Arabidopsis thaliana: one gene and its partners. The protein of the gene in region 3 interacts with the protein of the main gene of each other region in a pairwise test. Each region holds a gene or a part of one and is shown on either strand. Other genes may lie near its edges. The genes, in order: SOB3, AT3G15800 and MEE60.

Region 1 (4,374 bases), on a different chromosome or scaffold from region 3:
TATATGTAAGAAATAACCTTTGAGTTGAAAAGAATACACAAAATAACTTAGAACCAAATAGTACTTGTCGGTTACAGAAATTTTGGCAATATTTAGTCTATTTTAGCCTTTCTCTTTCTTCTTCCTTCTTTTATTTCTTTTTCATGTTCTTTACGAGACTTTAGCCATAGAGTTCTCTTTCTCTTTTCATCTTTAACACAATTCATCTTCTTCAGATTCACCATGTCATTTTCTTTTTCTATTTCTCTCTCCCTCTCCTAAAATAATCTTCACCACCTCTCATAAAATATATCATCATATCTCTTTATTTTTGTTCACCCACATGTTCTCTCTTTCTTTTTCCATAGAAATCTCTCTATCTCTCATTCTTTATTTTCTCTTTTTACCTGAATTCTCCGTCAATGTCGTTGTGATATAAGAGATTAAATTTGATTTTAAAACAAATATCTGATTTTAAAATGCATGTATTTTAAGAACAAAACATGTTATTAACACTAATATATTAATATTTGTCATGCTATCCAACAAAAACTCATGAAATAAATAAATATTTGTCATGTTATCCAATAAAAACCCATGTAATATTGTAATTTTTTAAATTTCGCAATCTATAAGAGAATTGCATGCTTTTTATAAATATTTCGTGCTATTTCTGAAAAACACATTATTTCAGAGAAACATATATATCGTGTATATATATTCTGTATGTATTTTAAAGAATTGCATGCTCTTTTGTAAATATATCATATTATTTTAGACAAATACATAAAAACTTTATAACTACAACCACCGATATTTTTGTAAAAACAAGAAAATCTAAGGATATTTTAGTATTTTATCCACCATAGAAAATGTTATTTACCTAAGTTTCCTGACACAAGGCTATTCTCTCAATTCTTTTCAATTCCATGGTTACTTTCTAATATTACCCTATATAATATTGATATTTTCAAACTTTTGATGTAAATATGAAATTTTCAATGTAGAAACTTAACACATGTCACTGGAGAGATGATGCTTTTTATATGTTTATTTTAAACAAATCCCACTTAAAATCTGTATACACTTTTTTGGGGTACCTTATGTAGATTATATCGAATTTCATGAATTTCTAACTTAGAAAGTTAATATACATTGATAATAAATAGTTTGGTCTATATTTTTTTTACTATCAATAATAATTTATAATTAGTTTAATAAAAATTGAAGTGCACTCACTCATGGTAATAGTTTTTAATTAGTTTTAGAATATATGACCAAGACCAAAAACATTTTGAAACTGAATTTAGTTTTGAATAGGTAGAATCTCGGTTTTAAAGAAAATGATGAAATTCATAATGGAAGGCGTTACATGCACACGCTTCAAGGCAATTCGATTCATGGCTAACATTTTTGATTCACTTTTATTTTACTTTTTGTCATCTGTTTATTCTGTTTCAATTAAGTGTCGTTTTAAGACTTTAATTTTGTTTCAGGATAAATTTTATTTTATATTTTCAATGCAAATATTTTTTTTTGTTAAAATTTCATGTCTTATCTATGTTTTTCTAACAGATTGACAAAAAAAAAATCTATGTTTTTCTAACGTATTAACTGATGAAAGAAATATAATTGTGTATTAATGAAAGATAGAAGTGAAACTTTAATTAAATTTTAATACTATATGTTAATTAACTTTAAACAGCATATAATGATAAATGGTGGGAGTATTACATTTGTTTCTAGGGAATACTGCATTATTATGCGGACAAATTTGATATGTAACTTTCAAAAACTTATACAATAATTTATATTTAGACTTCTCGTTTGTTTTCTATATAATAATTTCCAACAACTTTATCAAAAAAAATAAAAAAAAATTCCAACAATTTAATATCAGCATGTTTCTTCCATCTCCTATTCATATACCTTTGGCTTTTAAATTGTAAATTTCTTAATTTCCTTTTTCTTTAAATTTTAACTCTTAAAAGTTTTCCTTTATTTTCTTGGTTTGAAGCTATATGCCAAAAAGGGAAACGCATATATCCAGAGAAGAAAAACTCGAAACCCTTGTCTTTTCATGGATTTCAAGTATATTATTAATATGCAATTATTCGTATATTAATATATGCCCCTATGCGTATTTTATTTTTTAATGCGAAAGGAATGATATTCAGCTAAATTTTCGGTGTGTCTATTGCTTTTTTTTTCCCTTTCCTCGTTCAAAAAAAGTACTTGCAGAGTCACTCACTCTCAGTCTCAGCACATGAATTAATTTGAAGCTTCCCTAGAATTCTTTCACATCAATTAATACGACACCGTCTCGGGTGAAGAATCTCTCCTCTCTTGCCCTAAAGCGAGTTAGGGTTTAACACACAAAGCATACCCTTTAGATTTGTGTCTCTTAGCTCTGTTTTTGTCGGCTTGTGTAACCGATCAACTCAAGCTATTGGCTCCTCACCTCCTGAAATTTGACTTCTCCAATGGATCTCAAAGTTTCTCTTATATGAATTCTATCTTCACCCTCACAATATCTTTATATATATGAGCCACAAGAACAAGAAGAGTCAGTAGATGCGGCTGCCATGGACGGTGGTTACGATCAATCCGGAGGAGCTTCTAGATACTTTCACAACCTCTTCAGGCCTGAGCTTCATCACCAGCTTCAACCTCAGCCTCAACTTCACCCTTTGCCTCAGCCTCAGCCTCAACCTCAGCCTCAGCAGCAGAATTCAGATGATGAATCTGACTCCAACAAGGATCCGGGTTCCGACCCAGTTACCTCTGGTTCAACCGGGAAACGTCCACGTGGACGTCCTCCGGGATCCAAGAACAAGCCGAAGCCACCGGTGATAGTGACTAGAGATAGCCCCAACGTGCTTAGATCTCATGTTCTTGAAGTCTCATCTGGAGCCGACATAGTCGAGAGCGTTACCACTTACGCTCGCAGGAGAGGAAGAGGAGTCTCCATTCTCAGTGGTAACGGCACGGTGGCTAACGTCAGTCTCCGGCAGCCGGCAACGACAGCGGCTCATGGGGCAAATGGTGGAACCGGAGGTGTTGTGGCTCTACATGGAAGGTTTGAGATACTTTCCCTCACAGGTACGGTGTTGCCGCCCCCTGCGCCGCCAGGATCCGGTGGTCTTTCTATCTTTCTTTCCGGCGTTCAAGGTCAGGTGATTGGAGGAAACGTGGTGGCTCCGCTTGTGGCTTCGGGTCCAGTGATACTAATGGCTGCATCGTTCTCTAATGCAACTTTCGAAAGGCTTCCCCTTGAAGATGAAGGAGGAGAAGGTGGAGAGGGAGGAGAAGTTGGAGAGGGAGGAGGAGGAGAAGGTGGTCCACCGCCGGCCACGTCATCATCACCACCATCTGGAGCCGGTCAAGGACAGTTAAGAGGTAACATGAGTGGTTATGATCAGTTTGCCGGTGATCCTCATTTGCTTGGTTGGGGAGCCGCAGCCGCAGCCGCACCACCAAGACCAGCCTTTTAGAATTGAAAATTATGTCCGTAACATAGCTGTAACCAAATTTCATTTCTCAAAATTAAAAGAAAAAAAAAATCATCTTCATTGTTTGGGGATCGTTTGGTTTTTAATTTAGTTGATCATATATGAATATTTGAATTCGTCTTGAGATGATATACTTCTCCATCTGCATTTTCTCTTCTTTTTTAATCACTAGGGTTTCGTGCTGTCCCTATATATTATTTGTTATATGCTTGAGTTCACAATAAAAGTGCTATTAGAAGCCAATTTTTATATATCACTTAGTTACCTTTGTAATTGGATAACAAAAAAGTTATTGAGTACATTTTATAGAAATATTGAAATGGCTCATACTTGTATATATCATGGATGTGGTATGTGTAATCCCCTTTTTGAGTAGTTATCAAAGGTAATCACTCAATCTATGTTACTATGTCTATCAAGTAATCAACCAACAAATCAAACATCTTGTTCTTTTTAATTCATCTAGATACCATACATGAATCTTCGAGATTTTATGATTTGAAAATCTCTAGATTGAATATCTTGTTTACGCATGGAATCTCTGATTTAGTACATGTTTCACCCAACTGAGTTCTACATTGTATTTCGATGAGATCAATATGAATATTTCTTCGTTTTTATCAATTAATCACGAAAATAACGCGTTAAGAATCTACCAAAAAGTAAATAACGCTTTAGAAATTTTACGAAAAACTAAATAACTATTTAGAATTTTATGAGTTTGTTTTAAAGACAGCGGTTACTGTGATAATTGCATACTATATTTTTGTCGATTATAAGAAAAGATTCGCCCACCCGTTACAACGATATAAACATGATTTTTCGACGGTTACAAGTTAATGGCTTAAACACGAGAACATTACATGACCTGCCAAAACCAAAA
Region 2 (4,633 bases), on a different chromosome or scaffold from region 3:
TCCCTAAAATTTTAAACTCTGTTTTGCTTTCCGACAATCAAACCCTAGGTTGTCTGTTGCTTCATTCGTGTAAATTGTTAAATTTTTTGTTTTTGTTTTCTTGGCATTTTGTGGTTGATCTTTCTAATTTGTTTTCAGGGGTTGCTAAAGGGAAAGGAGAGAGATGGGTGGTGAAGAGGAAGTTGTTTCTGTTGAGCTACCAGCACCTTCTTCATGGAAGAAATTGGTTTGTTTTCTTTGTTTCATACAAAGACTTAGAATTTGTTGTATATGTGTAGTGCTGCAATTACCAAATCTTTTTCTTTGAAGACTCTGAATATGGTAGCTTTTGGTGGCGAAATGTTAGTATAAGTGTAAATAACTTTATGTTGATTAGGTGATTCAAAGGTTATAGACTTAGAAAAAGCCACATTTGATTGTGTTTGATCTACTATTTCTACTTCTTTGTTCTTGACTTAATGCCTCATTTTGACTATGTTTGATTTACTTCTTACTTTTCCCGATTCTTATGGATTTTAAGCCACTTGTAAACATTGTTTAAGCTACATTAAGGTCTTCTTTAGAATTTAATCTTTCAGCGTTTTGAACCTCAAATTTTCATATTTTCAGAGGTTTACATTAACTGACTTGTTTTTGCAGTTTTACCCCAACAAAGTGGGTTCAGTGAAGAAAACAGAGGTTGTGTTTGTGGCTCCAACGGGTGAGGAGATTAGTAACAGAAAGCAGCTGGAGCAGTATCTCAAATCGCACCCTGGAAACCCCGCGATCGCAGAGTTTGATTGGACGACTAGTGGGACACCTAGGAGATCTGCAAGAATCAGTGAGAAGACTAAGGCTACGCCGTCACCAGATAAAGAGCCACCCAAGAAGCGAGGTAGAACCAAATCTCCAGTGTCAAAGAAAGATGCAGAAGGTGAGAAATCAGAGGGAGGAGGAGAGGAAAACTCTCATGTGAAAGATACTGAAATGAATCCTCCAGAGGGAATCGCCGAGAATGAAAATGTGACCGATAAGAATGGCTCCGGTGAAACTGAGAGGGTGAATGATGCAAAAGAAAACATTGTTGCTGAGGAAACTCCAAATGCGGCTCCAGTTCAAGAAGAGGGTGAGTCGATGAAGGAGAAAGCTCTGGATTCTGTTGATGATAAGAGTAAGGAGACTGACAAAGAAAAAGATACTGGCTCAATCGAAAAGAACTCGGTAGATGTAGAGAAGAAGACCGTTGAAGCTAGTGATGAGAAGAAGAATTCTGAAGCTGAGACCAGAAACCATGAAGAAAATGGTCTGACCACAGAAGCTGAGGGGAAAGAGAAAACAGCAGAAGGAGAAGCTACCGGATAGCCCTGTTCTGCTCTGCTTCTGTTAGCTCATGAAACTGTAAGTCAGTTGTTTCTATCAATCTATTGAAGTATATGGTTTCCTTTTTGCTTCCTACTCGGAGCATTATCGCGGTGAAAGGTGTTGTTAGGCTGAGATATGTATTATGAGATATGTGCAAGTTCTGTTTGGTTGTAAGGTTATGTAGAGGATATATTATTGACTCTTCTCTAAAACCATTGCAATCACTAGGTTTGATGTTTTATCTTTCTGCTACAATCTTTAGTCATTTTCGTATGGATGGACAATCAAGTTATGAACAAGTCAGATTAAAGATCCACACATAGATTAATCTTCTAGATTTCTTTTTATCATTGGTTCAATCTTCATTTGAACGCCATAAAATGGGAAACCCAAATAAAAAAATGGAAGAAAGCAGAAGAAGACAAGAGGAAAAAGGTAAAAGTTTTGCTTTGAGAGTAAAGTAAGAATCTAATGCAAAGAAAGACTTACAATGTTAGTTTTCTTATTTCCTTGATTCCATCCTTTTGCATGGTCCCAGGGACGAGGGTTTAGAATCTTTCTATTAAGGAACAACTTCATAGTATAAACTCTTATTGTTCCCATTTTAGGATTAAAAAAAAAACTTGCTCTGTTTTCAAAAACATCATTCGAGACAGTATCTCAAATGGGTTATTGTGTTCCTCTTCGAAAGTCTCCAACTTCACATATGGTTTTCTCTTCTTTCTTCCTTTCGTTTCTCTTAGTCTTCTCTATACTCTCTTCACAAACGGCCGTAGCATTCATCGGAACATATGGTGTAAACTACGGTCGCATAGCGGATAATCTTCCGTCTCCTGACGCGGTAGCAACTCTCCTTAAATCAGCAAAGATTAGAAACACCCGTATCTACGATGCTGACCACTCTGTACTCACGGCGTTCCGCGGGACCGGGATTGAAATCATCGTTGGCTTAGGCAACGAGTTTCTCAAAGACATTAGTGTAGGAGAAGACCGAGCCATGAACTGGATTAAAGAAAACGTCGAGCCTTTCATACGAGGCGGTACTAAAATTAGCGGTATCGCGGTGGGTAACGAGATTTTAGGTGGCACCGATATCGGGCTTTGGGAAGCTCTCTTACCCGCAGCCAAGAACGTTTACTCCGCTCTTCGCCGTCTCGGTCTTCACAATGTCGTCGAGGTACATTACCTTAATCTTGCATACCAAACATGTCGCTAAAACCATGACATCTCGAATTTGCTTATTTTGTTTGGAAAAAGTTTTTTTAAAAGATTGCACGTTTAACCAACGTTAAATCTCATAAATACATTATTTTTTTCCGAGTAAAGTTGAGAATTTTCTTACAGACAAAATGATCAATCATTTTTTTGTAACCCAAAATGATTCAGTTTAAATATATAAATCTATTAACCTAGTAACAGAAGTTTGTATTAATGATATGACCATGTCGATCATAATCCAGCTAAGATACGTTAGTAGGCATGCATCAATTTGGATTTCTCTTTGAATTTTTTTCTTTTTAAATCATCTCTAATATTTTTAGGACATCAAACTTAGAACTTAAATGATGATTTAGCCTAAAACATTCAATATTTGTTTATAGGTGTCGAGTCCACATTCAGAGGCAGTGTTTGCGAACTCGTATCCACCGTCTTCGTGTACGTTCAGGGACGATGTGGCGCCGTTTATGAAGCCGTTGTTAGCGTTTTTTTGGCAAATTCAGTCGCCGTTCTACATTAACGCCTACCCTTTTCTTGCATATAAATCCGACCCGATTACAATTGACATCAATTACGCCCTTTTCGAGCACAACAAAGGCATCTTGGACCCTAAAACCAAGCTTCATTACGATAACATGTTCGACGCCATGGTCGATGCTTCTTATGCTGCTCTCGAAAAAGCTGGCTACACAAAAGTCCCGGTACGTCCGATCCTTATTACTATCAACCCTTTTTTTGTTTGGTTTCCATTAACATTTTCCCTTTGTTACAAGCTTTGCAAAGTACAAACGTAAATGTCAAACTAGACTAAAGACATTTTTTTGGGGTCAAAAACATGCATTATATGAGTTTCAACTGAATAATTTGACTCGTTATATGCATTTTTATTTTTCTATCAGTAACATGCATTTTTTATCTTTTGCTATCAGTACTACATGCACTAAGCTACATGTCTTGTCGTACGCGGATTTAAAAGCGTCATGCGAACCTGATTTAATCATTTAATTGTACCTAGGTGATTGTTTCGGAGACGGGATGGGCATCAAAAGGCGATGCAGACGAGCCTGGAGCGTCGGTAAAGAACGCGAGAACATATAATCGGAATCTTAGGAAGCGGCTGCAGAAGAGGAAAGGAACACCGTACAGACCAGACATGGTGGTGAGAGCTTACGTGTTTGCTCTTTTCAACGAGAACTCGAAACCAGGTCCCACTTCCGAGAGAAACTTTGGCCTTTTTAAACCCGATGGTACTATTGCCTACGATATTGGCTTAACCGGACTCAAGTCCTCTTCTGCCACACGGTATCGTTTTAAGTCGTCTCTTGTTTCCGCTTCTGCTTTCACGTGTCTTCTTCTTCTTTTTCACCGGTTGTTCCACTTGTGAGATTTGTGATTTTTTTAATTGGTCCTTTGATTATCAAGTTAACCCGTAATTCTTGATTTGCTTGTGATTAGTCACTTTTAACTTTAAAATGTTAATATACGAGCTCCTAATTACTTTGTGTAATGTCTTCTTGAAATGATATTGTTTAGTGAGGGTAAATGTTGGATTTTTCTACATTATTCTCTAAATATTTCATCCCAAGTCAAAAACAGTTAAAGAAAAAGTTTATTACATAAGCTGCATATGTGAGTTTTTGATGGGACTCAATCACATGAAAACATCACTAGCTACATAACTATTTAAATGTTGTGTACTCACATAAATTTTGATCAAGTATTTGTTCTAACTATAAAATTATTTTATTTGTTTTGTCCATTGTCTACTTGGTATATATAGCTATCAACCATGTATTTACGTGAGCATGAAAATTTTGATTACGTTAACGAATCAAATCTAGAGAGTGCATTAGTCAAGATATATCTTCTCTCTTTATTAGATGCCTATATAGTTTTCTTATAAATCTTATTCGACCACCTTCTATTTATGTATTAATATTCCTACGCACTCTCTGATCTTGTGTCAACTAACACTAATAAAATTATTCATGAGATTCAATTTCCACTTGGCAGTAAACATGTGTACGATACACGTTACATCTCTCCTATATATTAAAAAAGTTAGTACTTCGAT
Region 3 (3,407 bases):
GCAAGAACAGAATTGAATCATAAGAGGGAATGTGCGACGCAGATACTTAAAGCTGCAATGGCTATTAACAGCCTTGCTTTAACCGAAATGGATGTTCCTAAATCATACCTTGAAACCCTTCCAAAGGTCTACATCTTTAACTCAAAACATCCCTATAAAAACCATTGTAAGGTTTTTTTTTTGTTCTGACATTAAACTTTTGGTACAGAACGGTAGGTCCTGCCTTGGGGATGTTATCTACAGGTATGTAACATCTGACAAATTTTCTGCGGAGTCTCTTCTCGATTGCCTTGATCTGTCCTCTGAGCATATTGCTCTTGATATCGCAAACCGTGTGGAAGCTTCGATATATGTTTGGAGGAGAAGAGTTCAAACAAAACTTGGAGTCAACAATAATACTTCAAGCACTACTCCAAAGTTAACATGGGAAATGGTCAAAGAACTAATGGCTGCTGGTGACAAAAGGGGATTGCTTGTGGAGAGATCGGAAACTCTCTTACGTTGCTTGAAGCAGCGGTTTCCTTCTCTAACGCAGACTTCTCTAGACATAAGCAAGATTCAATGGAACAAGGTCCAGACACACAAATCCTCTAAATACATTACAGTACAAAATGGCTTTGCTTGTTCTTATATATTCAGTCCTTTGAAAATTTCAGGATATTGGGAAATCAATCCTCGAAAGCTACTCAAGGGCTTTGGAGAGCTTAGCATCAAACATCATAGCACGAATCGATGATTTACTCTACGTGGACGACTTAACAAAGCAATCAGATGATAACAATCTTTTGTCAAGTCCAGCGGTCAGCAGCATTATAGCTCACAAGAAAGTAGTACCACTCCCTTATCTAATATCTGCATCAGGAACTCCATATAGAACAAGCTTCTCAACAACACCAGGCTTCTCTCCTTCAATGATTAGCCCCAAGAAAGGAGAGAGGAGAACACCTTACTCCAGCAAGGACACTAACAAAATCATTGAGAAAGGTCTTCCTTCTCGAGGATATGGAGTGAGAAGAGTCTTGAACAATTATCTTGGCATGGAATCAAAACTGAAAATATGCGTTAATCCGTCAGATAATGCAGATACAGCAGTGATTAACCAAATCAGCAAAGACGTGGAAGAAGAGAAGAAAAGAAACTCAACATCAGTCCATCAAAAGGGTCCTCCAAAGTACACTGTCTCTTAAAAGCTAATAGAAGAAACTCAATAGAGTGTATAATTAATGCAGACATGGATTGATTTGTTTGATATTTACTTGTAGTTTCTGTCTTATTTGGAATGGTAAAGTGTCTATCTTTGCAAACCAAATCAGATCACAAAATAGACAAAAATGAGAGTGGTTGTAACAAATATTCTCATCAAATTTGTTCTGGTTTGGTTTACTAGCTTTATTTATTTGGTAAACAATCACCAATAACGTGTATAATTTAAAGTTATGATTATAATGTTTCTTTTTGTAACCCACTACAAAATGTCGTTGTAGTATAGTGGTAAGTATTCCCGCCTGTCACGCGGGTGACCCGGGTTCGATCCCCGGCAACGGCGATTTTTTTTTTTTTTAAATCTCTTCCTCCTTTTTTATTTCCTTTCTGAACGAAGCTCTCTCTCTGATTGGCCGGATCTGCCGGAGAGAAAAATGACGACGAGTATTCACATCACAGCTCTCGACGGAATCGTCAACGTGAACTCACTCTTCACACTCGCCGTATTCATCGGATTAGCTTGGAACCCTACCGATCCAGACAACAGCCTCGTAACCGACCCTAATTGCGTCCCCACAGCTCGTATGGCTGAGAATCTCGTCGCCTTCCATGTGTACTCTTTCGCATCATTCCTATTCTCAAGTCTCATCGCTCTAGGTCTCAAACAAGCAATGAGGCTCAACATAGCTTCTTCGTTTCACATCTCTACTCGAATCGATCCTGTGGTTTACTATGTGAACAAGACGGCTCTTAGATTTGGGATGGTTACATCCGGTTTGGGATCGGTTTGTGGATGTGGGTTTCTCATGTTGGCTTTGATTAATGTTGTTCAGATCAAGCTTGGGACTTTGGGCTGTGGTGCTAGTGGTCATACTTATGCAGCTGTTGTGCCGCTTGTGATTCTGGTTCCTTCTGCACTTTTCATCTATGTTTCTCTTATGTTATATGCTTTTACTCGTTAGAGACATGGTTTTTGATTCCATGGTTGATGCAATTAGGGTTATGTTTGTATGATGATGATATGATGGAAATGAGAATGATTCTATGTTTGATATGGTTCTTTGTAAATCTCTTGGTTTGGCTTCTGATTTAAGTTTAGTGTCTGAGTTTTTGGATAGATGATATTCTAGATTTGATTGGAGTTAGGCACTTATGTGTGTTTTATCAGGAATATTAACTGGTGGATTCATTCAAACTGATTTGATCCCAGGAAATGGGTATGAGATTATGCTGGATTCTGATGCCTGTTTGGTTTGATCTCTTGGATTATTGATAAAGCAGAGTCTACTTGGAATCATTCATCAAAAAGAGACAACTTTTCTCTGTTCCTCATTTGGATAGAGTTTTTTCACTTGTTTATAGTTTTGTGTCTTCTGACTAAGCTGAATGATTGATTTCCTCTGTATACTATCCCATTCCCACATATCTCGGGAACTGCTTTGTATGCATAATTGTATGAAAAAATAGCTTTGAGGACTGGAGAAAAGGAACCTGATATATCTAGATCTCATGAGGTGATCAGTGAATTTTCAGCTTAAAACTTGAAGGCTCATAAAACCATACTTTTGGAAGCTTTTTCTTTGGTTTATGCTATTACATTTGTCATGTAAAAATACCTCTTTGCTTTCTTCAAAGGTTCAAATGATTAGCTTAGAGACTAAAGGGCAGCATGATCTTACTTTAGATTAAAATAGCTATGCACTTAGAGGCTCTTAATGCGACTGATTAGGTGAAGTAATTACTATGTTCCTTTAGTGCTTCTTCCACTACTTCTGTGTGGAATTTCTCTGATCCTTCCAAATCCTCCTGCAATTTCAGTTGCTATAAAACTTAGGTTCCATAACTAGTAGTATATGCATCAACTCATCACTCAAGAATGGAAACCCATGTTTTATCTCGCATTTTCCTCCTAGTTCTCTGCATCTACAGCCTTAAAACCATGGTTTATGGGGCTGGAGAATGTGGGAGAAATCCTCCAGACAGAGAAGCCATAAAGTTGGCTCCTTGTGCAATGGCTGCACAAGACACATCTGCTAAAGTGTCAGCAATTTGCTGTGCTCGAGTGAAACAGATGGGGCAGAATCCAAAATGCCTTTGTGCTGTCATGCTTTCTTCCACAGCTAGGAGCTCCGGAGCAAAGCCAGAGATCTCGATGACTATTCCTAAACGCTGCAACATCGCTAATCGTCCCGTCGGTTACAAAT

Evidence for each region.
Region 1: the proteins of MEE60 (region 3) and SOB3 interact in a two-hybrid assay, tested with the Arabidopsis thaliana proteins (one large-scale study listed by BioGRID).
Region 2: the proteins of MEE60 (region 3) and AT3G15800 interact in a protein complementation assay, tested with the Arabidopsis thaliana proteins (one large-scale study listed by BioGRID).

The regions. Positions count from the first base shown.
Region 1 is NC_003070.9:28,702,968-28,707,341, forward strand, and holds SOB3 (Putative AT-hook DNA-binding family protein), read left to right. Parts: upstream 1-1,995; 5' UTR 1,996-2,564; coding exon 2,565-3,473; 3' UTR 3,474-3,724; downstream 3,725-4,374. UniProt on the Arabidopsis thaliana protein: Transcription factor that specifically binds AT-rich DNA sequences related to the nuclear matrix attachment regions (MARs). Acts redundantly with AHL18, AHL22 and AHL27 in the regulation of flowering and regulation of the hypocotyl elongation.
Region 2 is NC_003074.8:5,343,046-5,347,678, forward strand, and holds AT3G15800 (Glycosyl hydrolase superfamily protein), read left to right. Parts: upstream 1-1,943; 5' UTR 1,944-2,005; coding exon 2,006-2,518; intron 2,519-2,942; coding exon 2,943-3,260; intron 3,261-3,574; coding exon 3,575-3,943; 3' UTR 3,944-4,102; downstream 4,103-4,633. Other genes in the region: MBD11 (methyl-CPG-binding domain 11), read left to right, coding at 164-226, 640-1,341.
Region 3 is NC_003076.8:1,787,177-1,790,583, forward strand, and holds MEE60 (maternal effect embryo arrest 60), read left to right. Parts: upstream 1-1,561; 5' UTR 1,562-1,637; coding exon 1,638-2,165; 3' UTR 2,166-2,816; downstream 2,817-3,407. Other genes in the region: ROPGEF5 (ROP guanine nucleotide exchange factor 5), read left to right, coding at 1-126, 209-571, 657-1,187; AT5G05960 (Bifunctional inhibitor/lipid-transfer protein/seed storage 2S albumin superfamily protein), read left to right, coding at 3,080-3,407.